Oreochromis niloticus: one gene and its partners. The protein of the gene in region 2 purifies or fractionates together with the protein of the main gene of each other region. This does not show direct contact. Links are inferred from orthologs where the notes say so. Each region holds a gene or a part of one and is shown on either strand. Other genes may lie near its edges.

The links. The genes of interacting proteins can lie anywhere in the genome.
Region 1: the proteins of cops6 (region 2) and klhl18 purify together in Homo sapiens (affinity purification with mass spectrometry; 3 studies listed by BioGRID and IntAct, with this or other methods). This does not show direct contact. The link is inferred for Oreochromis niloticus from reciprocal best matches to the Homo sapiens genes COPS6 and KLHL18.
Region 3: the proteins of cops6 (region 2) and dcaf8 purify together in Homo sapiens (affinity purification with mass spectrometry; 3 studies listed by BioGRID and IntAct, with this or other methods). This does not show direct contact. The link is inferred for Oreochromis niloticus from reciprocal best matches to the Homo sapiens genes COPS6 and DCAF8.
Region 4: the proteins of cops6 (region 2) and klhl42 purify together in Homo sapiens (affinity purification with mass spectrometry; 3 studies listed by BioGRID and IntAct, with this or other methods). This does not show direct contact. The link is inferred for Oreochromis niloticus from reciprocal best matches to the Homo sapiens genes COPS6 and KLHL42.

What each region holds. Positions count from the first base shown.
Region 1 is NC_031982.2:34,538,917-34,545,950, reverse strand, and holds the start of klhl18 (kelch-like protein 18), read right to left. Parts: upstream 3,016-7,034; 5' UTR 2,906-3,015; coding exon 2,777-2,905; intron 2,748-2,776; exon of another isoform or gene 2,474-2,747; intron 2,313-2,473; exon of another isoform or gene 2,298-2,312; coding exon of another isoform or gene 2,289-2,297; intron 2,252-2,288; exon of another isoform or gene 2,070-2,251; intron 2,064-2,069; exon of another isoform or gene 2,032-2,063; coding exon of another isoform or gene 1,924-2,031; intron 1,606-1,923; coding exon 1,475-1,605; intron 1-1,474. Other genes in the region: poly(U)-binding-splicing factor PUF60a, read right to left, coding at 5,366-5,665, 5,742-5,980, 6,190-6,304. UniProt on the Homo sapiens protein: Substrate-specific adapter of a BCR (BTB-CUL3-RBX1) E3 ubiquitin-protein ligase complex required for mitotic progression and cytokinesis.
Region 2 is NC_031966.2:16,067,116-16,074,774, reverse strand, and holds the start of cops6 (COP9 signalosome complex subunit 6), read left to right. Parts: upstream 1-4,639; 5' UTR 4,640-4,721; coding exon 4,722-4,764; intron 4,765-6,185; coding exon 6,186-6,311; intron 6,312-6,433; coding exon 6,434-6,565; intron 6,566-7,526; coding exon 7,527-7,615; intron 7,616-7,659. Other genes in the region: uncharacterized protein LOC100705850, read right to left, coding at 1,689-2,738, 4,096-4,171, 4,307-4,407. UniProt on the Homo sapiens protein: Component of the COP9 signalosome complex (CSN), a complex involved in various cellular and developmental processes.
Region 3 is NC_031982.2:23,773,099-23,780,988, forward strand, and holds the start of dcaf8 (DDB1- and CUL4-associated factor 8), read right to left. Parts: upstream 3,016-7,890; 5' UTR 2,761-3,015; intron 2,270-2,760; 5' UTR 2,233-2,269; coding exon 2,196-2,232; intron 2,100-2,195; coding exon 2,004-2,099; intron 1,880-2,003; coding exon 1,218-1,879; intron 693-1,217; coding exon 552-692; intron 469-551; coding exon 374-468; intron 117-373; coding exon 6-116; intron 1-5. Other genes in the region: guanine nucleotide exchange factor VAV3, read left to right, coding at 5,093-5,296. UniProt on the Homo sapiens protein: May function as a substrate receptor for CUL4-DDB1 E3 ubiquitin-protein ligase complex.
Region 4 is NC_031981.2:17,144,521-17,151,870, reverse strand, and holds the start of klhl42 (kelch-like protein 42), read left to right. Parts: upstream 1-4,335; 5' UTR 4,336-4,757; coding exon 4,758-5,521; intron 5,522-5,594; coding exon 5,595-5,788; intron 5,789-7,350. Other genes in the region: UPF0577 protein KIAA1324-like, read right to left, coding at 1,909-2,055. UniProt on the Homo sapiens protein: Substrate-specific adapter of a BCR (BTB-CUL3-RBX1) E3 ubiquitin-protein ligase complex required for mitotic progression and cytokinesis. The BCR(KLHL42) E3 ubiquitin ligase complex mediates the ubiquitination and subsequent degradation of KATNA1.

The sequences.
Region 1 (7,034 bases), on a different chromosome or scaffold from region 2:
GATATGATACAAACCACTGCAGTGCAGTACCTGTAATACCTACAGCATGTTCTAATCGCTCTAATAGGATATTATGGTCAACAGTATCGAACGCTGCACTGAGGTCTAGCAGGACAAGCACAGAGATGAGTCCACTGTCAGAGGCCATAAGAAGATCATTTGCAACCTTCACTAAAGCTGTTTCTGTGCTGTGATGAGCTCTGAAACCTGACTGAAACTCTTCAAATAAGCCATTCCTCTGCAGATGATCTGTTAGCTGTTTGACAACTACTCTTTCAAGGATGTTTGATATGAAAGGAAGGTTGGAGATTGGCCTATAATTAGCTAAGACAGCTGGGTCTAGAGATGCTTTTTGAGTAAAGGTTTAACTACGGCCAGCTTGAAGGCCTGTGGTACATAGCCGATTATTAGAGATAGGTTGATCATATTTAAGATCGAAGAATTAATTAATGGCAGGACTTCTTTGAGCAGTTTTGTAGGAATGGGGTCTAAAAGACACGTTGATGGTTTGGAGGAAGTAATTATTGAAGTTAACTCAGAAAGATCAATTGGAGAAAAAGAGTCTAACTTAACATCGATGGTACTAAAAGTAGCTGTAGATAATATTACATCTGTGGGATGATTATTGGTAATTTTTTCTCTAATGATAAGAATTTTATTTGTGAAGAAGTTCATGAAGTCATTACTAGTTAACGTTAAAGGGATGGTTGGCTCAGTAGAGCTCTGACTGTTTGTCAGCCTGGCTACAGTGCTGAAGAGAAACCTGGGGTTGTTCTTATTTTCTTCAATCAGTGACGAATAGTAAGATGTTCTGGCTTTGCGGAGGGCTTTCTTATAAAGCAGCAAACTATTTCTCCAGGCTAAATGATGATCCTCTAAATTTGTGACACGCCATTTCCTCTCCAGCTTACGAGTTATCTGCTTTAGGCTACGTGTTTGAGAATTATACCACGGAGTCAGGTACTTCTGATTTGAGGCCTTAGTTTTCACAGGAGCTACAGTATCCAGAGTCGTACGTAGTGAGGAGGTAAAATTATTAACAAGATAATCGACCTCTGTTGGAGTAGCGTTCAGATAGCTGCTCTGCTCTATGTTGGTACAGGGCATTGAAGATGATAACAGTGGGTGGATTATATTCTTAAACTTAGTTACAGCACTTTCAGAAAGACATCTACTGTGATAAAGTCTACTCTCCACTGCTGTGTAATCAATTATTGTAAATGTAAATGTTATCAGGAAATGATCAGACAGCAGAGGGTTTTCAGGAAACACTGTTAAAAAGTTAAATTCAAGCTAACTGTAATCATGACCGTCACCACAGCTGATATCAGGCCGAGTCCGTGTTAAAGCAACATTTGGAAGCTTTTAGTGGAAAACAGTGAGACATTGATGTTACTGAGGTTGTCCCACCTCTGCCGAGGTCACAAGCCAGTTACAATTCTGCTCTCAGACATCTGTACAGGTGTGAGCGTACCTGGGGTCCATGCCCTGCATCAGGATCTCATCCTGTTTACACTCCACCATGTCGTTGGTGAACATGGCGTGGAAGTACGGGATGGAGGCCGCCAACACGATCCGGTGAGCGCTGAACTTGTGATCCCCAACCTGCAGACAGACACGCTGATTAACAGACTCACCTGTGACTCACCTGTTGCTATGACGACAATAAAAAACTGAAAACAGCTACATCTGAGGGATGTGTCACAGGAAGTGTTGGATTTACTGCCCTTAAACATTCACAGAACCACTCCTCGCTAGACAGCCAATAAGACTATGGCTTCACATTAAGCCCCACCCCTCACTTATCAGGTAAAACAACAAGATGATGACGGCAGACATCATTACATGAAGGTAAAGCTGCGTTCCTTCACCCTCTGAAACACAAGCGTTTCAACAGGAAGTAGATTTCAGGGTTCAGCTTAACTCTGTCAGCTGACCAGCTGGCGCCATCGATGATGTTTCCACTAGCTTCAGCTTAACGCGCAACCAATCAAAGTCCTTCATCCAACCAGCCAAGTCTGCCTGCATCATTGAATCGGTCTGACTTCCTATAAACTTCTGCAGGTCACCTGAAAGTGGACAGGTGAGGATGTGCTGCTTTATCCGGAGGACACCATTAGTTCTGGAAAACAGCTGCCTCTGACGTGGGTTCACCTGAGCTGCAGACTCAGCACCTTGCCTACTGAGCCGTTAAGAGGATCAATGCTGAGCTGCAGGCACAGGACGCAGCACAGGTGAAAATGTTTCTCAGTCGCACCTGAACACCTCTGAACAGCTCAGAAGCACACCTGGATCATGTGATGCTGACAATGAGCACCCAGCTCTGTTAACTGCTACCATAGAGCCAGGCCCTGATGGGGAGGGGTGGAGCCACCGAGAGCTTCTTCCTGCTGTAGGGGTTAGAGTTAAGGTCCCGCCCCTCCCTCACCTGGCGGACATGTTTGGAACAAAGAGCAATCACGTGTCTGCTCACCTGCACACGCCAGAACGCTGCTAAAAGGCTCCGCCCCTTCTGTGCTGCCTGAGCTCACCTGCGCACGTCACACAACCTCTACCTTTCCCCAGGTGGATCACACACCTGACCTCCAGCCCCGGTGTTAAGAGCTGACCGCTCTAACCGGAAGCCGCTTCGCCGCCTTGCCTGTGGGGCTCCCAGGCAGTTCACAGGTCAGCCCATGACGTCACTATCTGATAATCCGCGTTAGCTTGTTAGCATGCCTTAGCTCACTTTGCTAGCTTGGAGGCTAATGTCAGCCTCACACGCCGCCTCGCTCACCTTGAGCGTGACGTCACAGAGTTTCCCCTGACGTCGGATCTCCTCCATGACGACAAAACCTCGTGCCGGCAGGTCGTGCACTGAGAAGTGGACCAAATCCTCGAGCTCTTCGCACAGGACGTCGCCCATCGTCAGCGGGAGCGCGCGGACTGGACCCTGCGAGCCGCCGTACCCAGCGTCAAAGCCGCTTTCACAATAAGAGGGAGCACTTCTGCTGAGATTAAACTTCAAAATAAAAGCTTCTAAAGCCTTTCATTTGTAGTTATTGATGAGTGATTGCTCATTTATTAGGCCTTAATGTTTGTTTTTGTCAGGATTTAATGAATGTATCAGGTGTTGGCCCTGAGGAGCATCAGATGAGCTCACGTGACTGCAGTGACATCTGATATGATGTCATGAATAATGACTTTATGATTGGTGACCTGCAGCCGTGATTGGGAGCACAACAGCGTAGTTATTTAGTGAAAGCTGATTGGCTGAGAGATAAACAGCCTGAACACATCAGAGAGTAAACTAACAAACCGATCTTGAGCCCGCTGAAACCATCCGAGCCTGCAGTTCCTCCAGCATTCAGCAGAGGGAGCACTGAGTCAGTCCTCATAGACTCCTGTGTTAAAATTCAAATGTTTTGGCCTTTGTAGATAATTTCCCCTTCATAACTGCAACAATGACTGGATTCAACAGAAGGGAGAAGAACACATTTTTAACTCACCTGTTTGCATTGATAGGGGTGTGGCCTCTGACTGACAGGTAGATGGTGACAAAACTCGCTGTAGGTGCTAGATTTCACCTCAGCTAACTGGAGTCTCTGAGCTAGACCTCTGAACTGTGTTTGATGACATTATCTGACCAATAAGATTGCTGCTGTGACCATGTAAGGATTCTGATTGGATGTTACTGATAAGGTGTATGTGTATGCTAAGCTAGCTAGCTAGTAGACAACTGGCTGACAACTCCACCCTGTCCTCCAAATATGGTCACCACCGGAAACAAACATGGCAGCAAGTAATGTTACAGTCTCTTATACAGTCTGGCCTCAGGGATGTCACCTGATGATGGGTGCTTCCACGGTCGCCACTTTGGCTGCAAAAACCTGAAGGTGGCAAGGAGGGGCGGGCCTGATTGTGAACCCACATGCTCACTGACTAACGCCCTGGACTGCAACCTGTCGAGTGGTTGGAGTGAGCAGGTTCCTGGCCATTAGCCAATGAGCATGCAGCTTCACCACTTTGAAATCCAGTGTGACCTAAAACTGAGCCCACAACCTCAGCAGGATATTTTTACACAGGTCAAAGGTCAGAAAGCTGCCTTACCACAGCTATTGCCCCCTGGTGGCCTTCAGACAGAATGCAGGCTTTGGCCGTGCCCATGATTCTTCCTCCAGAGTGAATGAAGGTGAGCTCAGGTGTTTCCTGAACGTTCAGTAGACAGCTGATTACTTCCTGTACTCAAACACCTCGTCTGCTTTCTATTTTCTTTTATTATCAAACAGATTTTTGTACTCAAACTGCCGACCAATCAGAGAGCAGCTTCACACAAACAAAACAGCAGAAAAAAAAGAAGTTTTATTCACAAGTTTCGGTGTTTGACCTTCAAACCCTGAAGAGCACCTGAACGCAGCACTGCCTCTGAGGCTCAAAGTCGCTCAGAGACCAGGATCATGTGACTCCTTGGGACAAGCGGGAGACGGCCTGAGAGTGGATGATGCTGTGGTGCGTTCAGGTTTAGTCAGTTTGTTAGACTCCAGGTGTTTCTGTTGTGAGGCTGCGAACAAAAGGCTGAACATCTGGAAGAACACAGGTGACGTCACATCTGGTCCACAGTTGCTTCATGTTTCAGCTCCGGCCGGCTCACCATTGTACAGAAGGTCCCTGAAGGCACCGCGGCCGTGTAACTGGGTCAGAACCCAGACAGGAAGTTACTGATCGACTTACTGATCTGTGGATCCTGGTTCCTGGACGTCAGGTCCAGTTTTTCCTTCCTGCTGGTGATTTTTTGTGTGTTTCAAACCAAAGCGTCACGGCCTCATCTTTACGCCTCGCTCTCAGGGCGTTGGCGCCGCTGCCCTGCCCAGCGTTCTAAGTAGAATGGTCGTGGCAGTTAGTAGAACGCGATCGACAACGTTTCTAATCGCGCCAATCCAAAATCCGTTTTTAAAAAAAAATTCAGTAAATGAAACTCATCATTACACAGTTTGTCCAGCAGGGCGGCTCCACAGGCACCGTCTACAGTGGGTGGAGTAGAGCGTGACATCACTCAATTGAAACTACTGACAAATTGATATCAGACCATGTAAATCAGATGAGCTCTAAACATTAGCACAGAGCTCATGGTACATTTTACCTTACGCCCTCTGTGTCCCGTTTCTGTTACCATGGAAACGAAGGATATCATGTTAGGAAAGCAGTGGCTGTAAGAAACGGCGAGGCAGCGAGCAGCTGAAACATGAGAAGCAGCTGGTTCGTCCTTTGACCCTGCACAGAAACACTGGAGCAGAGGACGCGGAGACGTTTCCCTGGAGACAAACACCGATGAAAAACAGACAGGTTAGAAAGAGCCCGCTATGCTACGCTCCCCGACGAGCGTGCTCTATGCCGACAGGTCCCCGTTGTCGAACCGTTCCTGGTCATAAACCTCGGCGACCACCTTCCTGCCGCCGAACCAGCGGTGGTTCAGTGCCTGGATGGCTCGGTTCATCTCGGCGGCTTCTGAGAACTCCACAAAGATCTTGACGATGACTTCGGCGTCGTCCTCCTCGCCCTGACGCTCCTGATAGATAATGACTCGCTTCACCTGGCCGAACTTCCCGCATTCCTCGGTGACCTCGCCCTCGAGGTCGTCATCGATGTCGTCGGGGCCGACCATGTTCCTCAAAACCATGACGGTGGACTGAAAGGAGACACGACAGGTCACGACCAAGAGAACCAGCGATTCGCCGTTAGGGGTGGGCGGGACTGAAGCGTACCTCCTGCTTGCGCAGCAGCTTCCTCATCACCATGTGTCGGGCGCTGCTGCCGCTGATGCTCATGTGCTCCTGCTCGCTCAGCGGCTCCATGGCGCCGTCCTGCTGCACCTCCTGCTGACGCTCCTCCTCCTCTTTCTTCTTTGGATCAGCACCAAAGGAAACCGTCTGTGTTGGCGGCGTGGCCAGCACAGGGTTCACCAAGCCCACCTGAGGCACGCCAGGTCTCACTGGGGTCACACCTGAAACAGGAAGCAGGAAGTGATACCTGTTGGAGCACCTTTGATTGGTTAGCATTTTTGAATGAGCCTGCTTTCAAAATAAAGAGCGGTGAGACGTGTGGGCGGAGCAGACTGCCCCAAACTCAAGATGAGATGTCGTGTGGGTGGAGCCTGTGTGTGTGTGTGTGTGTGTATGTGTATGTGTGTGGACAGGGCTCAGGTGTTCCTACCTGTGATGACACCTGGAGCCTGGTGGGCCATGACAGCCTGAGGGAGGCCTCCGAGCTGCTGGGACAGGAGCGCCGGTCCGGCCAGAGCTCCAAGCACCGATGCTCCCACCGCCTCCTGAACGCGCCACAGAACATCATCAGTACACCTGTCTCAAATACTACAATCCTGTACTAAATAATAAATAAATAAAATTTTATTTATATTGCACCTTTCTAGACAGAGTCACAAAGTGCTTCACATAAGATAACAAATAATAAAAAGGTAAAACAGACAATATAAAACTGGCAAAAATTAACCAAAAGCAGGTTTATAAATGTGAGTTTTGAGTTGTTTTTTAAAAACAACTCCTGAGTCCACAGTTCTTAATGTTTGGGGGAGAGAGTTCCACAACCCAGAGGCCACAGTGGCAAAAGCTCCATCACCCTTAGTTCTCCACTTAGTATTTTTTATAGCAAGTAAGCCCAGATCAGATGACCTCAGGGACCTGCTGGGGACATCGGGCTGTAGCAGATCAGAGATGTAGGCTGGTGCCAGTCCATTCACAGCTCTGTAAGTCGAGACCAGGATCTTAAAATGGACTCTATATTTAACAGGAAGCCAGTGTAGCTGACATAGCAACGGTGTCACATGAGACTACTTGGAGGATTTAGTCAAAAGCCTAGCTGCAGCGTTTTTCACAACCTGCAGACGATCCAGAGAACCTTTGCTTAGACACAAACAGCGAGTTACAATAATCCAAGTGTGAGGAAATAAATGCATGTATAGCAATCTCCAGTTCAGAGCGAGATAAAATCGGGCTTAGCTTAGCCACATTTCTTAAATGATAAAAACAAGACCGAACCAG
Region 2 (7,659 bases):
CTGAAATGTTCACACTGGACAAATTTGAACTCAACAGTATGTAGGTGTTAAATTATTTGTTATGTAGCATATAAATAATAAAATGATTTCCAGTTGCAAAATATACTGTATATCATATATAAATTCATGAATCCAAACTTTTAATCCCATAACTACTTTTAATTAAGATGCTTTTAATTTTGATTATACGGTTTGTGTACCATTAAGCTACTTGTGTAGGATTAATACTTACTCATTTAAATTCTTGTTTTTCCGCTTTCCAAAAACCGTTACTGGCCACTCCAACACTCAAAACAAGAGAAATGACCCGTGACAATTTTCTGAAGCTTAAGCTAACAAGAAATAACCTACGTAAGAGAAGACCAGACAAAATGTAGCATTTGACCTTGAAAAATGAGACGTGCAGTTTCATGACAAACTGATCAGTCATCTTTAAAGGTGCAGTTGACATACTGTATTTGTATTCAAGCACAAATTCTGGGTTTACTTTATCAAAATAGCTTTATTCAGAAAAATTTGTTCTTTACAAGATGAACCTTCATTGAATGGTTGCTTTAAATGCAACACACTTCGGTGTGATGACACAGATCTTACATGTTTTTTCCTAAAATTGAGACAATATACACACATTCAGGATGAGCGGTTCTTTTTTGTTCTCAGTTTCTACAAATCACATATGCAAAGCCCAACGATATCCTGTGCATCACCCAACCAAACAGAGTAAAATATATGTTCTCTGACAGTATATGTTGTTGAGAAGTGGTAAAGAACAGGAAACAGGTGGATCATGACTTGTTTGTCTTTGTTGCTGACACCTGCTTATCTGTTTACAGTCTAACAGCAACTGTTCTGCATTTTATTTCATATCGTTTCTAAGCACTAAAAAGGAGAGACTTCCCACTGACTTACCTCAAAGACACTGAGTATTGTAGGAGATCATGAAATATCCCTTAAGACAATATAATTTGTGTCTATGATGACAGATGTTTTTTCTTAACTTTCGTAATGTAGTAGCCTCAGCTTATGAGGCAACCTTTCAAACTGATGAGAAAGATGTTTTTCATGATGTTTGCATCAATGTGATGAAGTAATCCGATTTGTCAACGACAGACAATTCAGATTGGAAGTTTTAGGCAACTGTTACCAATTAGATTTTTCAGAAAACACCATATCACAATATATCTCCTACTTCTAAGTCAGCTTTAATCGAGACAAGTAACATTTTGAACATAATACTGTAAAAACCTAAATAAAGGGCCAAAACATTTATTGTTGTTCTTGCACTGCTGAAACCTGCAATCCTCCTCTAAAGCCCTCAAAGGTAATTATATTGAGGAAGTCATTTATTTTTATACATACTATTTTTATTTTATTTTATCGCTCAATAATCCCCTAATACATTTGAATACATTACTGTGTACAGCTTTTCGGTTTTTTGTTACTTCATTCTAAAAGCCTAAAAAAATACTATAAACATGGATCATTGTGAGTAGACTTTTAAAATTATTTTTATTTATTTATGGACTTATTGTGGCATTGTCAGAAAAAGTTGACAAAGCATTCTGAATCCGGCTCTACTTATGTCAACATGATCTGAAAGCCTATGTAACCGTTTTGTTTTTTGTTGTTTTTATTTTATTTTTAAAATCCCATGTGGGTTGCTTGTATATAGCAGCATATAGCTTCATTCAATCTTCATTATTCTGAACAGAGCAGTTGGTAAACACCAGTGTGCAGGATGGCAGCAGGACAGCCAGTGTGCGACGCAGACCTGGAATAGGATCGTTCATATCTGCCGTCTTGTTCTCATCGCTGCTGCCATCTGCACCTGCAGCTTCTTCTCTGTCCTGCTCTTCTTCCTCACCACCCTCCCCCTCCTCTGCTGGTGGATTCTGACGAGGCTGGAACCTGACGTCCACAAACTCCAGCTGGCGAAGTCCACGGAGCATCCTGCAACTCCGGGCTATCTGCAGCTCGCTGAGTGTGCAGTCCCACAGGCGCAGACGTTTCAGGTCTCTCAGGCGGCTGGCGCAGAGCAAACCTGGACCCACCTCTTTTCCACCAAGACTTAGCTCCTCCAGTCCAAGCCAGCCAGCCCCCAAGCCAAGGGAGGCCATATGTAACTGGTAGCCCTGCCGCCCTGTAATGCCTATTTCCAGAAACTTGAGCCTGGAAAGCCCTTCTACACCACAGACACCATCTTTGGCAGCACAGCTTCTAAGCCCATTAGCTGTTACGCGAAAGGTGTCACGTAGCTCTAGACGACAGAGCCTCTCCCATGATGTCAGACCCTGCAGGTGCTGGTCTGTAAAAGAGGGCACATTGTTAAGGACTAACCTCTCAATACCAATCCCTGAAGGAGAGCCAGCCCCTTTTCCTTTCTGGTTCCTTCCTTTCAGTTGAGAACCAACACTGGATGTGGGTTCTGCTCTTTCTTGGAGACTAGCTGATGAAGTAGGCAGGGTCTGATTGAAGAAGCCACGAGGCAGCTCGCAACCCCGCAGCTCCAGCACCTGCAAAGATGGAGGTAGGATCTGGCAACTGGGCAGGCTTCTCAGGTCTGCATGCAGAAGATAGAGTTTACTCAGTCGAGGGCATTTTGTGGACAAAGCTTTAAGCCAAGACTCAGAGAGAAAGGTTCCGCCACGTGCGGACAGCAGCAAACCACGCAAGCGAAGGCACCTTAGTCCGCAACCCAGGTACTGACGCAGCAGGACCCAAAGGATGCGGGATGTCACCTAACACACAGTGGACAGTCCATGAATATGTGTGTGTTGAGAGAGAGAAACAATAACTGTCAATAACTGCACAAACACACAACCCATATGTTATCAAAAGATGCTCACAGTTTATTTTTAGAGCATATTTTACACACAAAAGCATTTGCTTTACAAGGGGCTTTAAAAAGCAATAGACAATTTTATTTACTATCAAAGAAACTAAAATACACACACAATAGAAAAACACATACTCGCCAGGAGAAAATATTAGTAGACGGCTGTTAAGAATAACTAGTAACAGCTCAGAAACTGTCAATAGATGGCCTAAGACTCAAATCAGCAGCTAGGTTGTTGAAACAAAGACATGTCAAAACTAAAGCAGGCTAATATTAAGCTCCTGAAATAGCTTTCCCAAAGCTTCAACATCAATCGTACTGAAAATTTGTAGACTATGTTTAAAAGCTGGCTCTGTGCCAGGAAACCAACCAATTTAAATGAACTCGACCAATTCTGCAAAGAACAGTGGTCAAATATGCAGCCACTGTTGCACCAGAAGCTTGTCGATGGCTACCGAAAGTATCTAACTGAATTGCAACCAATATTTATATTAACTAAATATTAGTTGGGGTTGTATGTGTATATTTGATTCAAACTTGTGCATCTAGTTTTTCCTCTTTAAAGGCATTAAAGATGCGTTCTGTACAATTATTCCACCCTGGACAAAGAACAGTTCAAAGAAATTATGAAAAGCCCCAAATTTCTATGTAAAGAGCTTGGAAAGAAAAATGGCTGGACTTCTTTAAGTTTCTTGAAGACATTTCACCTCTCACCCAAGAAGCTTCTTAAGTTCTAAGACCAAATGGTGGAAAGTCCCAGGTATTTAAGCTCTAGTGGGAGTTGTCCCTTAAGACGGTCGTTTGGTCTTAGAACTGAAGAAGCTTCTCGAATGAGAGGTGAAATGTCTTCAAGAAACTTAAAGCAGTCCAGTCCCTTTTATTTCCAAGCTCCTTGGATTACCATGAGAACCTACACAGACCCAAATTCCTGTGGCATTCATTCATATAAATTTCTCAGCACAACTGTATAAGTGGGCCCGTTTTGAGACAGGAAAATCCGGGTGTTGTATTTTTATTTGATGACACAGATGAAACCAGTGCTGATTTTATGTGAGGGGATATATTAAAACATGAGTCAACAGCTCCTAGTCTTTCATCTTTATAAAAAAAGAAAAAGAAAAAGAAAAAGCAGAAGTTATCGCTATGGGTTTGTTTCTTTTATTATCCCCAAGTAACAGACTAGATTACTAAAAATGGCTGGCCTGCATTAACAGCAGAAACGAAAAATTATGAAGCCACACTGGCAACAACATCCTTACCCCTTTCCATGAAGTCAGGTCGACATTTCTCCACAGTCTTTGGTCTTTAACAAGGCGTTTCCACCTCTTACATACTCTAAAACCACAATTTAAAATATATAAACATATACACAAATCACATAACAAAAGACAAAACAAACGAAAACCTGAGTTTTGTTTTAAACGACGAATAACTAGTAAATCCTTGAGAGCAAAGTTGAAATCCCCTTACCTCCCGGCTCTGACGACCTCTCGTACGTTCAGGTAAGACAACACATCGATTAAAATGTTTTCGGGAAAGTAGTCCAGATTGCAGCCCCAGAATTCATCCATTTTGTAAACAAAACTCTCAAACCTCACACACGGAATGGTACATGGACGCACACGGGTTGCGCCCGAATCAGCAATCCCCCGGAAACACCGGTCCACTGACTGTGTGACCGAGCGGCCGCTGGGCAGAAATCAAATCAGCTACTTTAAGCTCAACACAACATTCCCCGACCCAGACAGCCTATGTTTCTATAAACCCGTCAGGTTTATGACCGTGAATATGCGGCACGTTTTGTTTTAAAAAAGAGCCCCACGAAGAGCCACTTAACGTCCTTTGCATCAACAGTCCACTGCGCCTGCGCGGATTACCGGACAAGATGGCGACCAGCAATGGTGGAGGAATGGAAGTGGATGGGGCAGGCGAGTATTTATCCCTCATCTCATCGTTTCTGTCCACATCAACCAAAACCTGCGTGCAGGTTGCCGTATATGTTGTTTTTGTGTGTTATAAGTGAGCGGAAGTGACGACTCCGTGGTGTTAAGGGGTCGTAAGGAGCTTGCTCGCTGACATAAGCAGGTTAACGTACTCAGCTCTGTGAAGCTGTCAGTACATTCATCACTGTGGATGTTTGAGGCAGTCCCCTCTGCTCTGCCACAGGAGTTTGCATCAGAAATTCGAAGTAAAATCTAACATCATGTGTAGTTTGATTAAAATGCTGTGGCAGTGCTGCAACACCAACCACGTAAACATTAGCTGTACATGAGGGGAACCGACATGCAGGCCTATATCTGTGTGATTAGTTACACATACATTAAAATGACTGTATGTAGCGAGCATAGGGCGACCACTCAGAGTCGAGAAAGTCGCGTTTTATTAATTTTATAAACTGTGTCATTGGGCACTCACTGACTGATCTACCTGCTCAGGTGTCCTGTTGGGAAACTGTGGAACTCGTTTTATGATTGCATATGCTATATAACTTTTTAGGAACGATCATGAGACTGATCTTTTGTGCCAAACTAAACAGATGATTAATGCCAAAAGGATATATCCAGTCACTTATTTTGAATGTAAAGAAAACTGTGTATGCACTGTTGCTTGGCTCTGAAGCTAAGTGACATAGATCATTGTCATCAGCTACAATCTGAGTGTAAATAATTTCTCTTATTATTTTGTCTGTTATGCATTGGTTATACGTTATTGATTGTTTTGGGTTCATACTGATTTACGGCTATTGATGTGTCTCTGCTTATTTTCTTGTGTTTCACATATACATGCAGTTTGATTAGACGTATACCGAAACAGGACTGATCCATTGTTCATTAACTTTCCAGTTAATGTGATAGGAGCATATTAATCACTTTTGGTTGATCACTGTTCCTTTTTTTCCTATTTTTTCAGTAATTATTTGGATTTGAAGAAGTATTTCCACTTGTACCTGGTTCATTTAATCTCAAATCACTGTTGCCCTTTTGCACAACTATCTCAGATTTGCCTAAAAAGGCAATGGTCCACAGATTGGATACATATTTATTGCTGTGAAATTTTAGCTTCATATATCAAATACTTTTCAAGATGTATTCTTTTCAAAAATGGTCCATCGACACATTTTCATTGATATCATACGAAGGTAAAATTTTACAGCTTGGGACCATAAAATTCTAAGATGGTTGAGCAGAAAACCCATGGTGATTTGAAATGGAATGATCCCTTTGTCTGGCTTTCCAGTAATTGTTTGAATTTGATAAAGTGCTTCCAGTTAACAAGTTTTTTGACTTTTTTATATTGTCATTGACATACTGTTAATCCCAATCTTATTTGTGTCTTTGTATGACTGTAGCCAGCCCCAGTGTTATGGCCTCAGGGGTCACTGGGAGTGTTTCTGTGGCCTTACACCCTCTGGTTATCCTAAACATATCCGATCACTGGATACGCATCCGCTCGCAGGAGGGCCGACCAATGCAGGGTATGTGTGAAAAAACAACACATTATCCAATCACATATTTATATATTTTGAGCTTACGTGCATTGGAATAAAAGTCTAAGTTAAAGATAAACATATGCTGTTGTGTTTGTCTCTCTGCTCAGTGATTGGAGCTCTGATTGGGAAACAGGAGGGTAGAAACATTGAGGTGATGAACTCCTTTGAGTTGCTGTCTCACACCATAGACGACAAAGTGCACATTGACAAGGAGTACTACTACACCAAGGAGGAACAGTGTAAGTTTTCATCAAGTCTTAAGGACAATAATGCACATATTTGTGTGTGCATCTTCTTTGATGACTCAGTTGTTCGGTAGCTGGAGTTGTGCTAAAATTAGTAACACCGGTATAATCATCATTCAGGAGATCAGTTCACACATCAGCTTGTTGGATGTGTTTTTCTAGACTTTAGTTTTGTCCTTGCCTGCTTTATTAAATTGAGACATTTTGTATCTGTGTTCTGACTTTCTCACACAAAGAACAATAAACAATACAACAATTGATAAGTCTTGAAGGCCAGAATGGGACTCTGTAGTTTTGGCGTTTCAGTTCCCAAAGAGTACCGATACATTGTTAATATGTCTGGATGGGCAAGGAGTAAAACATGTGAAGGGAGGTTTCTAACACTTGACCAAGAGATGGCAGCATTGGATCCAGTTCTTGAGCCATAAGTAAATGATTTACACACAAGTCTTTTGGTCAAAATTACATAAAAACTACCAAAACTCTCATTCTCTGCCTCTTATTTTGGATTTTGTAATTTTGTTTTCAAGTCGGTTAAGTTGCTGTTAATTTCCAGAAAATCAGAACAGGCCTTATAATAAAAACACAACTCTTTATGAAGGCAGTTGACTCACAGTCGTGCAGACTCTGTAAGAGTTTGCAGAAAAGCCTCATAAAGCAGAGTTTTTATTTATTTAGTTTTTTATCACGTTTTATTAAAATGACAAAGACTTAAACCTGTAGTTTGTTTTGTAGGTTCACTATATTGTTTTAGTTCGCTTTAGTTAACTGCTGTAACCTTGAATAAAGCGGAGCATGAGCAAAGCAAAAAAAAAAAAAAAACTCTTCAGTTTTCATGTAACTATGAGAGAGTTCATTGATGATTATGTTCTCCAAGCCCCTCTCAGATATGTATTTATTAGTAAGTCAAGTCATCAGATCATTTTTGTCCTTACATTGTCCTCTGGTCTCTCAGTCAAACAGGTCTTCAAAGACATGGAGTTTCTGGGCTGGTACACCACAGGTGGTCCTCCAGACCAGTCAGATATCCACATTCACAAGCAGGTAGGCAGACACTGAAGCCCACTGACAGGTGGCAGGATGTCGAT
Region 3 (7,890 bases), on a different chromosome or scaffold from region 2:
CATACCTTACATACTGATCTCTCCCGCCAACAGCAAAGTGGTGTGTCTTTGCTGGGTTCACAAAGATGGTGTACAGCCCCACTTTTTTATCACCCTCCTTTACAACCACCAGTTTACTACCACAAAAATACAAGGAGACAAAAAAAGAACACCAGTATTACCACTGATCAACCTAAAAATGTTTTATCTGTTTATGTGTTTTGCTCACATGGTGCGCAAGACAGACAGTTTTGTCAATCCACAGCAAGTCTCACTATACACTCACTGTGACAAAACTAGCTGAATGTGAAACTTAGTAGCACTTAGCTGAGAGCCATTGCACAGAATTCAGTTATGTGAATACATAATGATAATAAAAAATCTTGACTCTTACTTGGCAGGGCGGTCTAGACGCAAGTCAATACCAAATACGACAGCATCCTCTCCAGCGGACAGAAAGGAGCAAGGTGAATCTGGCTCAAGGGCCAGCTAAAAAATACAAAACAAAAAATTGATATGATAATAATTCATCTGCCTCTAAGAGTCTTAAACAAAAATCTCCTCTCACAGACCTTGTGTGCAGCGCCTTTATGCTGTGCGACCCGTTTCGTGTTCTTGCAGCGCTGTGTGGCAGAAAGCTCAGCCACTCTGATCTGACCATCACGAGCACACATGGCCAAGGTGGAGTCCCCACTGTGAGGCAGGAACTTTGCCTAAATTAAAGCCAGGGGGAGCCCAATTATGCATTTTATAACCACAATTTAACTTGATTAAATTATGCTTATGAATTAGTCACTTCAATCTGTCTTGTAAGTTTTTGTTTTTTTAATAACAGATTATTATAAAATAATAAAAACAATAAATAAATCATCAAATAGCAATTTACTGCTTGTCTCTAACTCAGTCTTTTTTCCACATTCTACATCTTTATCACTGTTTCTGTGGTAAAATGATTATAGTTTCTTATAAGAAAAAGTCCCAGAAAGCTACTTATTTTGTCTCAACAGATGAAACAATCAAATAAGAGAATATTAAACAACTACTCAATAATTTAAACATTATCTTATGAACTCTTCAAGGAAACTGAAGTTTTTATAACATTAAAAAAAAAATCATATTTTTCCTTCTGCTGTATGGAATACTCTAACTCATTACTATTACTGACATTTATTTGGAAAAAATAACGAAAGGACTAACTAATAATGAACCTCTACTGTAGCCCTATTTTTGTGTTTTACCTGAAAGACATTGCTCTTGTGTCCACTGTCAAACTCCAGTTCAGCACGACGGATGGCCCAGTCCCAGATCACCACACGCAGGTCATCGCTGCCTGATGCCAGGCGTGTGCCCGATGGGTTGAAGTGCAATGTGTTGACACAGCCTGTATGCCTCTCTAATCGGCCTTGGAGCTCCAGCCTTTGCACGAGGCCACGAGCCCCACACACGCGCCTCACAAACTGGTGTGAGTCCCTGCCGATCTCTCTGGAGCGCAGCGAGGGTACTGCCCGCCACACAGGACCACGCATGTCACGGAGCTCTGCCCCGAGCCATGCCTCCATAGCTTCATCATCATCGTCGTCGTCATCATCATCATCGTCGTCTTTCTGTTCTTCTTCATCATCATCATCGTCGTCATCATCATCTGAACTGGAGGAGTGGTTAGTGCCGCCGCCAGGTCTGTTTCTCTTTCTAGCTGCCCTTTTCCCACCATCTTTTTCTTTGGCTTTCTCTCGCCTTCCTCCCTCGCTCTCCCTTTCACCATCCTCAGTTAAAGAGTAGAGGCCGCTGCCGTCCATGCTGTCTGTGTCTTCATCCTCTTCCCCCTCCCTGGTTGTGCCAGTCTCTCCTTCTACATCTGGCATAGATTTGTCTCCAGACGCTTCAGCTGTTTCTTTGGGAGCTATAGAAATAGAAAAGCCCAATATAAGGTTAAAGCAACACATATGTATGTAGATGGTTAGTCATATATGGCAGGAAAAATTCATTATGAAATTTTTCCACCATACTAAAACTATAAGAGTTACCATCTTGAGAGGAAGACTGTGTTTGCCCCTCTTTGTTTCCAGAGGCATCCCCCTCTTTGTGTTGCTCTTCTCCAGGCTCCTGTTCTTCAGAGCCACCTATTAAAACCAAACATTTTCTCTGATGAACTTTGACTGCTGCGGAGTATGACACCGTGCACTGCTGTCATCAGTATATAAATTGACTTGGTTTACCGTTAAGCACCGTGGATTTGCCGTCAGCCTCGGCCATTGTATTTGTGAAGTCCTGCGTCGACCCGAGGGACAACCTTTGAGTGTCGGACACAAAAACAATATTAATGGTGCACTGACAACTACTCAAAATCAGACTGGACAGTTTGTGTGCAATAAACGAGGCGACGCCACAGCTTTCATTTGATAAGCTCTTGACACTATTTGCAATAGGGTACAAGTTACCTGTTAGCCCCGTAGCTTCCAAACTAACAGTCTGGCTAATTTTACAAGCTATACACCGCTGCATGTAACGATATAAACAAACTAAGTCGTTTGTTAGCCGAATCACGGGCCTGTTTTGCTTTGTGATATTTAACTATGCATTGTCCTGTATAAAAGAAGAACTGCTTAACTGCCTGACAGTTATTACCATAAGCTAATGCTACCTAGCAAACTTGAGGCTAACAAATGTCGAAACTAAAACACAGTTTTCTAAGTTGTGCTGCACAACTAACCAGCTACTGGTCAAAATGCAAACAAGCGGCTAGCATTGCTTATACTCGCTAACTAGCACAGCTAGCGTTACCTGTAGTCGAAGGCCCGACGAGGCGTACTTCTTAGTTTAGTCTTAATCTTTATTGCAGATTTATTTGCTCCACCTCGCTACTCAGCAAATGAGCTAAGTGCCTCGACTAGGAACTCTATGACGAAAAACACACGACATGAGGAATGCGTGCATAAAGCTTTTTTGAAAAGTCAGACTATATTGCGAGCTAGCTGCGTTCACATAAGATTGCCTGCTCTGTTTATGTTTTGACGGTTCAGCTTTTTCTTTTTTTTCTAGTTACATTTCCGGTTTCGTGCTCGCATGTTTTTTTTCTACCGGAAGTTTGGTACGCAGAGATTAACCATCGGCATCAACAACGACAGTAATAATAATAATAATAATAATAATAATAATATGAACAAGACGATAAACGCAAAAACTTTTGTTCTGTAGTTGCTGAGATCACTGGGATGGGTCATATTGACTGATTACAATACAAGAAACAGTCAGAATCTTTTCTACAGCACACAAAGAGAAATTATATAAGACTGGAATGCAATACAAGCTAGTGAATGAAAACAAGTTATAGTTCATTTTAACGATTTTTTTTCCCTTGGCAACAGTAATAATAACGATAATAATAATAATACAAATAAGAACACATTAATAATACATAAAATTAGTTTATATTTATTGTAAGTGAACATTTCATTTATTGAACATCAGCAAAGCGCAGATAATTTGCAAAACACTGAAAAGAAATTGCAAATGTTTAATTATTTCATTATTTAATTATTTCATTTAAATGTTTTTCTATCAAACAAAATTTAAAAGTTATTAAGGTCAAGACCAGTTGAAAACAGCAAGAATAACACCGGAGGCTACAAGCTCATATTAATATACAACAAACCAGTAAAAAAAAGAAGACCACCCCCCCGAAAAAAACACTCATTCACCCACTTACTCAATCAGGTGGACATTGTGTAAGAAGTTGAGTCTCAACTGTACACCCCCCCAACCTATAAATTTTTCTCGATTAAACGATAACCTTGAATGACACCATGTCATGATATATGTCATTCTTTAGAGCACAAAACGAAGACTGCAATGATCCAAGTTCAGTTTGATACTAGCACAAGCTTATTCATTCATTTATACAGTTCACCGAGATGCCTTGTGAGGAGACCTCGAAGGAACGACTTTTGAGTGAATGTTGCACAGTTTATCCATATTCATTTTTCCACATAATGTAAATTAGCTTCAATCCATCATGGTAGCCTTAAATTTCCAAGTCTTCGGAGTAGGGGAACTTCAGTGCCAACATGTGGCTGATTGGGACTTTTTAATTTTGGGACTTTTTTTTTTTTATTTTCACCTATAAGACCAAGGTGTATGTGTGCACAAAGCCCGGGCTCACAAATAACACAACTGTCATAATATGATAATTATGTGGAGTAGGCTGTAATCCACAAGGATTTTGAAAAAAAGGTTGTGCGTTTCTGGCGCCCCCTGCAGGTTACTGTATACTCTGGCGTTATCACTGCATAAAAATCGCGACCCTTGATAACTGCACGCATGCTTATTGAGTTCTGACAAATTTCCTACCCACACCTTTGATGAATAATGGAAGCCGCGTCTTTTTATATTGTTGCCTATATCAGTGCACAGCAGTCTGGCCAGTATAGGGCACTGACTGCGGTCGTCTAACTTTTCAAGTGGTGTTTATGGTGACATAAGAACTAAACCTGTTTCCAGTGCCCCTTGCTCTAATTGAAACATGCGAATGATCACTGACAGTGCCTCAAATACAAAGAAACCAGCAACTCTATAAGTAAATATGAATATTTTTTTATCCGTTGCCTGCAACTTCAGTAGAGAAACTATAAAGTTTAAAAAAAGGGTGAAATCAATGTTCTTTCACAGAGATGTGGCGAACATGAGAACATTTCTGCACAGCCTCAGACATATGATTAAACAGTTGTCCATGTGTTAAAGACGCCTTACAAAGACCTAATTTTCCACAGCTTGTTTCGTTAAATTCTGCGCATGACTGTTTCACAAATAAAGGGACATATCTAAGTAAACAAACAAACAAACAAGCAAAATAAGAGACTTAGGAACGCAAAGATTACAAAATAAGGAAGAGGAAGTTCACTCAAACACAGGGGGTTTCAGAACAGCCACCCCCATCGGTGTGCAGCTTTCATAAGTTGTAGCGGCTCGTCTGTCCTCCAGAGGCGATGCTGGAGTTTGAAGAGACATGCGGATGGCTCAGGACGCAGCTTCTTCCCCATGCCGTGCACAGACTTAATAAGCGGACAAAGTTTTTAAATTTGGTATTGGCCTGCGGTTTATTCCGCTCTTCGCCAACATGGAGTATTGGAGGCAATGTGCGATGTGGCTGATCAGCTGCAACGTGCTGCCTGCGAACCACCGGGTAACTGCGGACACGGCGCAGGTGTTCGACCTGGCGCAAACCCTGCGGGACGGGGTGCTGCTGTGCCAGCTGCTCAACAACCTAAGACCCCACACTATCAACCTAAAGGAGATCAATCTCAGGCCACAAATGTCACAGGTACACCCATCATTTTATGCGCTACTTTACGAATTACTTGTAACATTGAGAAAAACTGCAAAAAATATTGTGAAACCAAATTCATGCGTTCACTAGCATGCCATAAGCTAAACCTATAGTGGAGTCCAGGAAAGTCGAGGTTAAGTTTATTTGCCCAATAACCACTGCTAGAGAAGCAAAGTAGTTCCGCTGGTGGAAGAGGACGCCTAATCAAAAATGTGTGAAAGTGGACAAAGACATGTTTGCAGCTCCGTGTTAAGAAGATCAAGCTGTAGCAATTCTAAATAGGGTTCCTAAATACATGGAAGAGAAACGGTGGACGCTTTATTAGGGCGTTTTATATCTTGTTGTTCTGCCTGCAAGGAACTACTGTAATTAGGGTACAGAAGCCTGTTCCAGTTTTCTTAAAGACTTAGGTGAGATCTTCCCTTCAAGTTATTCCATATTTTCAAAATAAAACCGCAAATTCTAAGGATTTCCAGCTTAAAGCGAGCTTTAGATGATTTCCATCTATTACACACAGTTTTATTTGTGTCCTGTCTTATTTGGCTTTGGGTCCAACAGATAAGTGTCACTAAAGCCGTGGAGTGGCCTCTGACAGATAGCTTCACCCATTTCTTTTATTCTGAAGATGATGTTTCACTTTCTGTGTCCTGTTCTAGTGTCTTGTTCTTTTTTTTTCTGGATAGGAGAGAAAGTTCTCTAGCTTGTGTGAAACCTCTCTGGCTTGTGAAACACTAAGAAATCGTCCAAATAGACTTTTCCTTGCTCATGCAGTAACCCTTCAGGAGCTGAAGGCTCTGGAGAGATCTGATAAAATCCTGCCTTTGATCCACCCATTAGTTGGGAAACTCTACATTTGTGCAGCGGCTTGCTGTTTAGTTTGATGGCATATGACATGTGTAATAAGCTAATTTTAAGCTAATTTTTATTTAAATCTCTTGCTTTCCTGACTACAAATCACTGTCTTGGCCAGGAAGAGAGTTAAATAAAATAAAACAAAGCATACCAATTTAATGTTTTAAATCAAAAGTGTGTTCCTTGGTGTAATATGTGTATTTGTAGGTGTGCCTACAAATATAATTAAAGCATGCCTAGGTTACCAATATATTTATACTTTTTCTGTGCTCCTACGTTACTGTAACAGCAGCACTTCCTGTTCAGCAGCATACTCAGGCATGTGATTAGATCTTTCTGCATCTAGTTGAAAGAGTAACGAACGATTAAAGTCAAAGATACTGTTAATCATTCACCATAAAAAGACAGTGACGTGATGCATAGACAAAAAAAATGAACATAAATACATTTTATAATTTGTTAGCTGACATCAAATAGTTAGGCACTGAAAGCAAATTATATACACTTTGGTTGAAATGAGCTGTCACCATGATATAATCATCATGATGATATGTTTTTTGTAGTGATGGATCCGCATGAGTGATTGGGCTCTGTCTCACAAACTGTACCATGTACCCATGTACATGTGCTATGCTTTGCACTGTCTGCTCCATCAGTGTCTATGTGCTTTTCTTTAATATTTTTAAAAGAGAGTTAAAGCAAACCCAGGGCATAACAGGCCAAACAATGGATAGTCATAGCCCGCAGCTGTAGGCCACTTGACGATGGTTGCAAAAGGCATGTGTGTCAGTGGGCTCCATATTTTAAATGGCTCTTTCATTGTCATCTGCTGATGGGCTATCTTCGAAAAATGAAACAAGGGCACTGGTGAACACGACTAAAGTGTACACTGATGAAAAGTCACCCAAGACCCGTGTTGTATGCTGACTTTTGGTACAAATTCAAATAACAATTCACATAGCCATTTTGACTGTCAGTCATGAACAAATATGAACAAATACGCATTGGATACGCAAATACCCACTGCCTCTCTTATTATTTGCTTCCAAAGTTATAAAAAGTAAAAGCTTTTTAAAGTAGCCTAGTTTAAGTTTAACAGGAAGTAAACTTAGCTAAACAAATCACAAACAGACCACATTTAACTGAAAATGAAAAAGGAAAAAAATAAATTTAAAAGTTGTTTAAAAAAAAAAAATCATTTCATTATTGTGGTGCCAGAGTTTCTGGGTGTTACTCTAAATGTGAATAAAAGAATGTGCACCAGGGCTGTGACTGTGTTCAAAAGTATGAGGCTGTTGGTGGTGCAAAGCCATCATGTTCTTGCACTTCCTCCGTAGACAAACAGGGCCCCTGGGGGCGGTGGAGTGATTACAGGCGTCTCCATGATGAGCTGATGTGATAAAAAAGAAGAATATCTGTTCTCAAGAATTTTCTTACTTACTGCTTAAATTATTACACATTCAATTTCTAAATCAGCCATTGCTCAGCAATGTGTTTGACAGGAAAAATGAACCGAGACACTTCTAACAGGTGATCTAACAGTGCTGTATACGTTTTCTTTTTAACTGAAGTGACTCAAACTAGTATCTTGAACTCTAAACCAGAACTTTATGTCCAATGTTTCTGTTGGCTGCCGTCTTCCCACTAAGACAAAGCTCCTGATAGGAAATGACACCAACAGAGGACATATTTGGCGGTTTCATTTCACATTGTAAAACTTTCAATTTTCATTTTCA
Region 4 (7,350 bases), on a different chromosome or scaffold from region 2:
TTTATTACCCAGAATTCAAACTCTGACGAGAAATGATGCTGAGTTTTTTAGTTATTGAGTTATATTAAGATGTGGAACATTTTTATTTACCATTTAGAGACATTTGCTTCTATTATTTTTGCCAAGAGTTAGATGAAAGGTTCACTAACCCTCTTGTATTGTGCATTTCAATAGGAAATGATAGTAAGTGGCCATTAAACTTAATTTGTGACCTCAAAAGTAATAGCACAGTTGAATTGTGCTTCAATTTACATGCACAGTGATCCGGTTAATGATCAGTAGTTGTTATTTCCTATTTTAATTGTACTTTTTTTAGCTTTCAGAACATTTATAGTTTATTTATATTGTCTGACATTATATGGAGTTGTGACTGCCACAGTGTTTGCAGTAACTGATAACTTAGTTAACTATCTAACAGGATAATGTTAGCTAGGATTGCATGCACTTTATTAACTTTTTTATTTTTGTTTTCTGTTTTAAATACTCAAGTGGTTCATAACTAGCAGCTTTTCTCTGGACCAGGTGAAGGCAGGACGTCATAAAATGCAGGAGTGTATTCACAGAGAAGGATATTAAATAAGTCACTTTGATTTAACAAACTAAATAAACTTGTTTTTGTTAACCCATATGAAATTTTTGTTGTCATATATATGTTATACAGAGTCTAATCTTCAGTGATAAGGATACATATTTATCCTGGTATGACATATTTTTAAGATATTTTGAATGCTAACATTTTGCTGTGGTCTGTTCCTGCTAAAAGAAAGTTCTTCCTCCCCTCTTTCACCATGTCCTTGCCCACAGGCTCATCATTCTCTCTTTAATATGGCAGGATACTTATCTCACAATATAAAGCACTTTTAGTGTTCGATCTGTTCAGTATTACTAAAAACTAGCAAATGAGTCCATAAATAATCGCTAAAAGTGTTTGCCGGATCACACATTTCTTCATAACCGGACTTCGATTTTCAACCACAGCTGTCGCCCCCTAGTGACCATAAGAATAAAGCTATTTTTTCATTTACAGAGTATCAGTCCTCGCATGAAAATCTCACCATCTAGAGCAGCGGTCCCCAACCCCCGGGCCTCGGACCGGTACCGGTCCGTGAGTCGTTTGGTACCGGGCCGCGAGAGTTGAGGCTCAGGTGTGAAACGTATGGTTTTCAGGGTTTTTATCGGTTTTCAACGTTATTTTGTTATCGTTTTTATCGTTAACTCGGTTTTCTTGGGTCTTTTCACGTGTGTTATGAATAAATCTTCTTTTTTTCGGTACCGGCACTAGTTTTATTTTGTTGTATTCATCCGCGACACCTCATTGCCGGTCCGTGAAAATATTGTCGGGCATAAACCGGTCCGTGGCGCAAAAAAGGTTGGGGACCGCTGATCTAGAGGGCAAAAAGGTTCTTTTTCTATTCCTTCAAGTCATCCTTACAGGCTTGAGAGAGCGAACCGTGCCAGCAGCCTTTCTCTGTCCTCCTCAGCGAGTAATCCCGGTCGGGCTGGCCGGCATGAGGCTGCTCAGAAGGGGATGAGAGAAGGATTCCAGCTGGGTGTTTATAGTCAACATGAACGGCATTTTAAGCCGATCAGCGACGTGAAGGACGAGGCGCGCATAGATCCAGACCCGAGCTGAGCCGAGCCAATGTAAAGCAGCAAAACGACTTGGAGCCCTTACATTGTTTTTATTTATTTTTGTTTTTTTAATCCTTCTTTTCTTTTCTTTATTTTATTTTATTTTATTTTATCTTAATCTATTCTGCACATTTACTCCTGCATGCATGGCCATTTTGACTTGTTGCCCTGATCATTTATTCTAGGATAAAGAAAAAGCAAAGCGGAGCGGGATCTGTGTTTTTAAAAAGCAGCAGATATTATAATTATAATAACGATGACAGCACAGGCGCTTACCTTATTACACGGCCGCAGGTCTCCGGCGCCTTTAACTGATGATGTATGAGCGGCGATGATGATGATGATGATGGTGGTGGTGGTGGTGGCGATGCTGAGTAAAAAGCTGCAGCGTGCGGACCGGGAGGCCCACGCTTGCTCCCTCATCCTCAGTCCGGGTCACAGAGCGCCGGGTGTCCGCTGCCTGGAGCCGCAAACACGAAGCGGGCCGCACGAGAAGAGTCCCTATCATTGATGCTCCCGCCTGCTTGTCTCACCTATTCTCCCCTCCTCCACCCACAACAGCGTCAACAGGCTGATAATAAAAATCGTTTCCGGTACAGGTTTTCAAATTAAAGCTGTCTTGTTACGTCCTATGAACCTCAATTTTTATCACAACACCTTTGTCCTGTGTTTATTCTCCAGGGTTTTACAATGTGTGGTTATTATTATTATTTTTAATTAAAAATCTATGCAGTGCACCGGTGTCCTTTTTCTCAGTAAAAACTGTGTAAGATCTTAAAATAAATGTCTCTGAATATTAGTTAGTGAAGAGAGTTAATCATTAATGTGAATAATGAGATCTGCATCTGATGGAAAAAAGTTTATAATTTAAAATACAATAAATGTAAAAATATTTTCTAAACATTTATTTAGTTTGTAATTTTCTCTCTGCAGCATTACAATAACTAGTTATACCTAAAAATAAAGCACCGTGTAACAAGGATTCAACATTTTTAAAACTGAACTGTCTGTATTTATGGGTCATTCTACATAAACTCCGAATTGGCGATGGTGAAATGTCCTAAAATTGATTTATTTTTCTAATGTTTACACATAGATCATGTTATAACATAACATGTTCACTTTAATATTCACAAAAAAGACAGATTAATGATTTTTAATCTCTTTTTGTACATCAACTTACAGACTGGATGGTGTTACCTCACTCCTTCTGCAATATAAAAGGCTTTTGATAAATATTATTTCCTCAGTCTCTTCAGCACATGTAGTCGGACTTGCATAAGAATACTCATAATGCAACAAATCAGGGGATTATGTTTTCTTATTTTCATTTGTTAAGTGTGATTGCACAGTGTTTGTTCATTTGTGAAGCCATTTATTTGCTATGCAACTGTTATAGTGAGTAGTGTCACAATCCTTTTGATGTTGACCCTTAAGTGTAACAGAAATCAATGGATCTTGTACAGTTTGGCAGAGTTCATTTGCTGTGACAATGGAAAAAAAATTCCCCAAACCCCAAAGCACAGTAACATCAGTGACACAATAAACCACCCAGGGATTGGGTGGAATTGATTTAGACACAGGATTAATAATACTAATAATATTACTACTACTACTACTACTACTAATAGTAATTATTATTATTTTAAAACTTCATGAAGAGCTTTCGATTAAGTTTTTTTTTCTGTTAATGGTTAACAGTGGTGTTAGTTAGTTGTAACAGGTCTGTTGTGATTCATAATCAAGGTGATACCAGTGACAACTTCTATTAATTTTTTTTTCTAAAATGGCAGCTACAGGGCATCAAACCACATGTTGTCAGTCTTGTTTTTCTCACAAAATTTCTTTCTTCTTTCTTTTTCAGTTCCCTAACAACTTCAACTAAAAGCTTCATATGAAATTATGCTATAAAAAAAAAGGTCTGAAAAATGAAAAGAGATACTGGACTCACTAGACCAATTTTTTTGCAGAGCTGCAGGAAACATGTTACAGGAAGTCATTAGATGTCGGCACCGCGGTGTTTTCCTTCAAAATAAAAGGCTTTTCTTAATCAGCAACGCCAGTGACACAACTCCAAGGTACCGTTACTTTGTTTATATACTTTATAATATTTATTTTACATTTTGTTTTGTTATGTTATGTTTGTCATATATGTATTATTGCAAGACACAGCATTGTTGTTTTTTTTTAGTGCTTCATGGACTCAAGGGTTAGTGTTAAATGACCTAATAAGTGGAAATCATTCTTCTGTAAATAGGTACAAGAACTGGACTGAAAATGATTAAAAAATCAGCCAATGTCCAAAGAAAAACTTAGATAAAAGATATTCAGAAATCCTGGAGAACTGTTGCTCAAGTCCACTTTAAAAATGACAAGAAAGTCTGGCTCCTTGGAACCAAAATATGAAGAAATTATGGTCAAGCTGAGGTGACCATAGCCAATAGCATCTCTTACAAAACCCCAAATTAAATTTTATTTAATTAAAAAAACCTAAATAAATATTAACGACTAACTAATCAAAATTAGCCAAAGTAAATAAAACAAGTAATTAGAAATAAATGAATAAACAATAACAACAATCAATAGCCTAATCAAAAAGTTGATCAAACATTCAACTTATCATTAATTTAAACCATGTTATGTAATTCTACTAATGACCTGCTGGGGGCAGTAAGGTGTCTTTGATACGCCTAATCTGCCGATAATTCCAATGGAAGAAGAAGACGCATATGATGTGGGGTGCAGAATCAAAACAGTTAAATTTGACAGCTCGACATTGTCCCTCACAAGGCTCGTAAAATGTTATGAAAACCTTCCTGGCAGGCTGAGAAACAAACCGCGATATTCAACCAACATTCTCAGAAAGTGGGGCCTAGTTGTGGAGGAATGCCATCGCGGGGAAAAGCTTCTTTTGGCCGGTTTATCCGGGAGCGGTAGCAGCGCCTCTGCAGCTAGCTGATTAGCTTCCCAGCTCCATGGCGATCTACGGGCTGAACATTACCATATATAGACCGGGCACGGAGCTCCCTGGCCGGTGAAATGTAAACGGCCACGGGCTCGGGAGACTGAGAAAGGGAAAGCAAAGACAAAACTCAGCCTGAGAGACCAAAACCACCATCTTCACCATGTCATCCGAGCAGATCATCGCCATCATCATGGATGACAAAACCTACGAAGTGAATAAAAAGAAGCTGATCGAGAAGAGTGACTACTTCCGAGCTCTGTACAGCTCGGGGATGAGGGAGTCCACGGAGGACTCGGTGCAGCTGCAGGGGCTCAGCGTCCTTGGATTGGAGCTGGTCCTGGAGTTCATCAACACCTCCAAAGTCCAGGTAGTCAACGAGACTCTGGAGGACCTGATCGAGACCGCCTCCTTCCTCCAGGTCACCTCCATCCTTAAGCTCCTCACTTCGGAGATCCGGCTGGAGAACTGCGTGGAGCTGTATAGCCTCTCCGAGGTGTATGGGACTCACGACCTGCGTACCGCCTGCCTCAAATACATGACCTGCTACTACCACCCCATGCTGAGGCGGCCTGAGTTCAGCAGCCTGGCCTCTGCTGTCAGGGACCAAGTCAAGGAGATGCGCATGAATGGCACTGCCACCCTGGTGGCCATCGGAGACTTCACCAGCCTGTCCCTGGATGTGCCGGATCAGGATGAGCCCTGGTCCATGCTGAGGTATGGAGAGGTGGATCAGCGCTGGAAGCCCCTCGCCAATAACCTCCCTCCAGATATGATCAACGTCAGGGGGTATGGGTCGGCCATCCTCGATAACTACTTGTTCATAGTCGGCGGGTACAGGATGACGAGTCAGGAGATCTCCGCTGTGCACTGCTACAACCCCTGCAGGAATGAGTGGAACCAGGTGGCGCCGCTCAACCAGAAGAGGTAACACAAGTCCCCTCTTGGTCCTTATTGGTTGTTTGCCATCGCGTTTCAATCACTGATTCTTCTCGTGCAGGTCCAACTTCAAGCTGCTGGCCGTACAGGGAAAGCTGTACGCTGTGGGAGGCCAGTGTCTGGGCACAGTGGAGTGTTACAGCCCTGAGCAGGACTGGTGGACCTGCGTCTCCTCGATGCCCGACCCGCTGGCTGAGTTCTCTGCCTGTGAGTGCCAGGGTATGATCTACGTCATGGGTGGATACACTGCGAGAGGTGTGTGTACAGGAGCTACAGTAACATATACACTAACACGCCAACACAGTCCGACAACAGTTTGGAGAGTAACTGTGAATTTTCATCTAGTGATTCTTTCTCCTTGACATGAACTTTGACCTGCACTGACTTGTGTCCATGCACACCAGATGAATAGTTTACTTTTTATTTTTTAAGGAGCAAAAAAGGCCCACATTTGGAGGTTAAAGGTGACATGAATCATTTCACAGCAGAAACCACAGTGTGAGTCCTACACAAGGATGATTTATACACTTCAACTGTGGTATTTAAAATACATAGATTTTTACATATCTGTCATGTTTTAGATCATCAAATAAGTTTTAATAGACATGATAGACAAAGATAACCTGAGTAAATACAAAATGCAGTCTTTAAAAGATAATTTCATTTATTAAGAGAAAAAAGTTATCCAAATCTACCTGCCCTGTGTGAAAAAGTAAATATGTTAACTATGTTATCTATGTTAAATCATAGATTAATTGTGATTAACCGCATTTTTTAGAAAACTGAGTTCAGTTTCACTTAGCCACACCCAGTCCTGACTACTACTTTTTCATGGCACTGTAGTTATAACTCCTCCAAAAAGCCTCTGAGAAATGAAGGGAAAAAACATAACTTAATTCCACAGAGTAAAAACTTCCCTGATGGCGGTATGGTATCTTTAGCCTGCGGTTAGTCTCAACAGATGGCTGCACCTCACAGTGATTCTGTTGGAGAAGACTTCCTGGTAAAGGGAGTTCTTCCTCCCTGCTGTCGCCATGTGCTGCTCATAAGGGATCATCTGTTTTTTACTTTTAGTGTCAGGTAACTGGAACGCTTATATCAAGGCAGGCACGTTTTACTGAAAACATCAAGATGTCTGTTTTGTTAAGTTTAATCGTCACAAGGGGAAAAAAGTAGGCTTAAAATAAGGGAAGCGAGAGAAGAGGAACAAACAGAACACAGATACCCAGGATAGTGTCTTTTCCTTATACTGTGAGGTGACTAAGTAAAAAGTGAGTTAAACCGAAAATGACTTTGTGTGAATTCAGATTTACTTTTGTTGTATTGTTGCACCTCCTCTCAGTTGGCTGTGGTGTTTGTCACGTTGTCCTTGTGTTGTTTTGTCGCTGTTGACAGTTTGAAGTAGATGTTTTACATACCGTTAATGCTTTATTGTAACACTGTCACAGTGCTGTACAAGACAACAGCACAAACAGAAGTGTATCCATCCCTTTCTTTGTTTTCCGTTCCTCACTATAAAAGATTTGGGATTATCCAAATCTGATCGCGTTTCCACACTGCAGCTTCTTATGGTGATTTGTTCATAACAAAGTCTGAAACATCCAGCTTCACCCTCCTTTTTGACTCTAATGGGACCACAGTTTACAAAACAAACATAATGTGCTTTGCAGCCATAAACTCATCAGCAAAGTGTTTACTGAGTTCATACTAAGAGGGAGCCGAGGACCTTTTCTCATGCACTTCTGTACAATTTAACAATCTGCCCCCTGCTGGCTGCTAGAGACGCAGGCTTTGCTGCACCCACCAGAAGTTTTTGG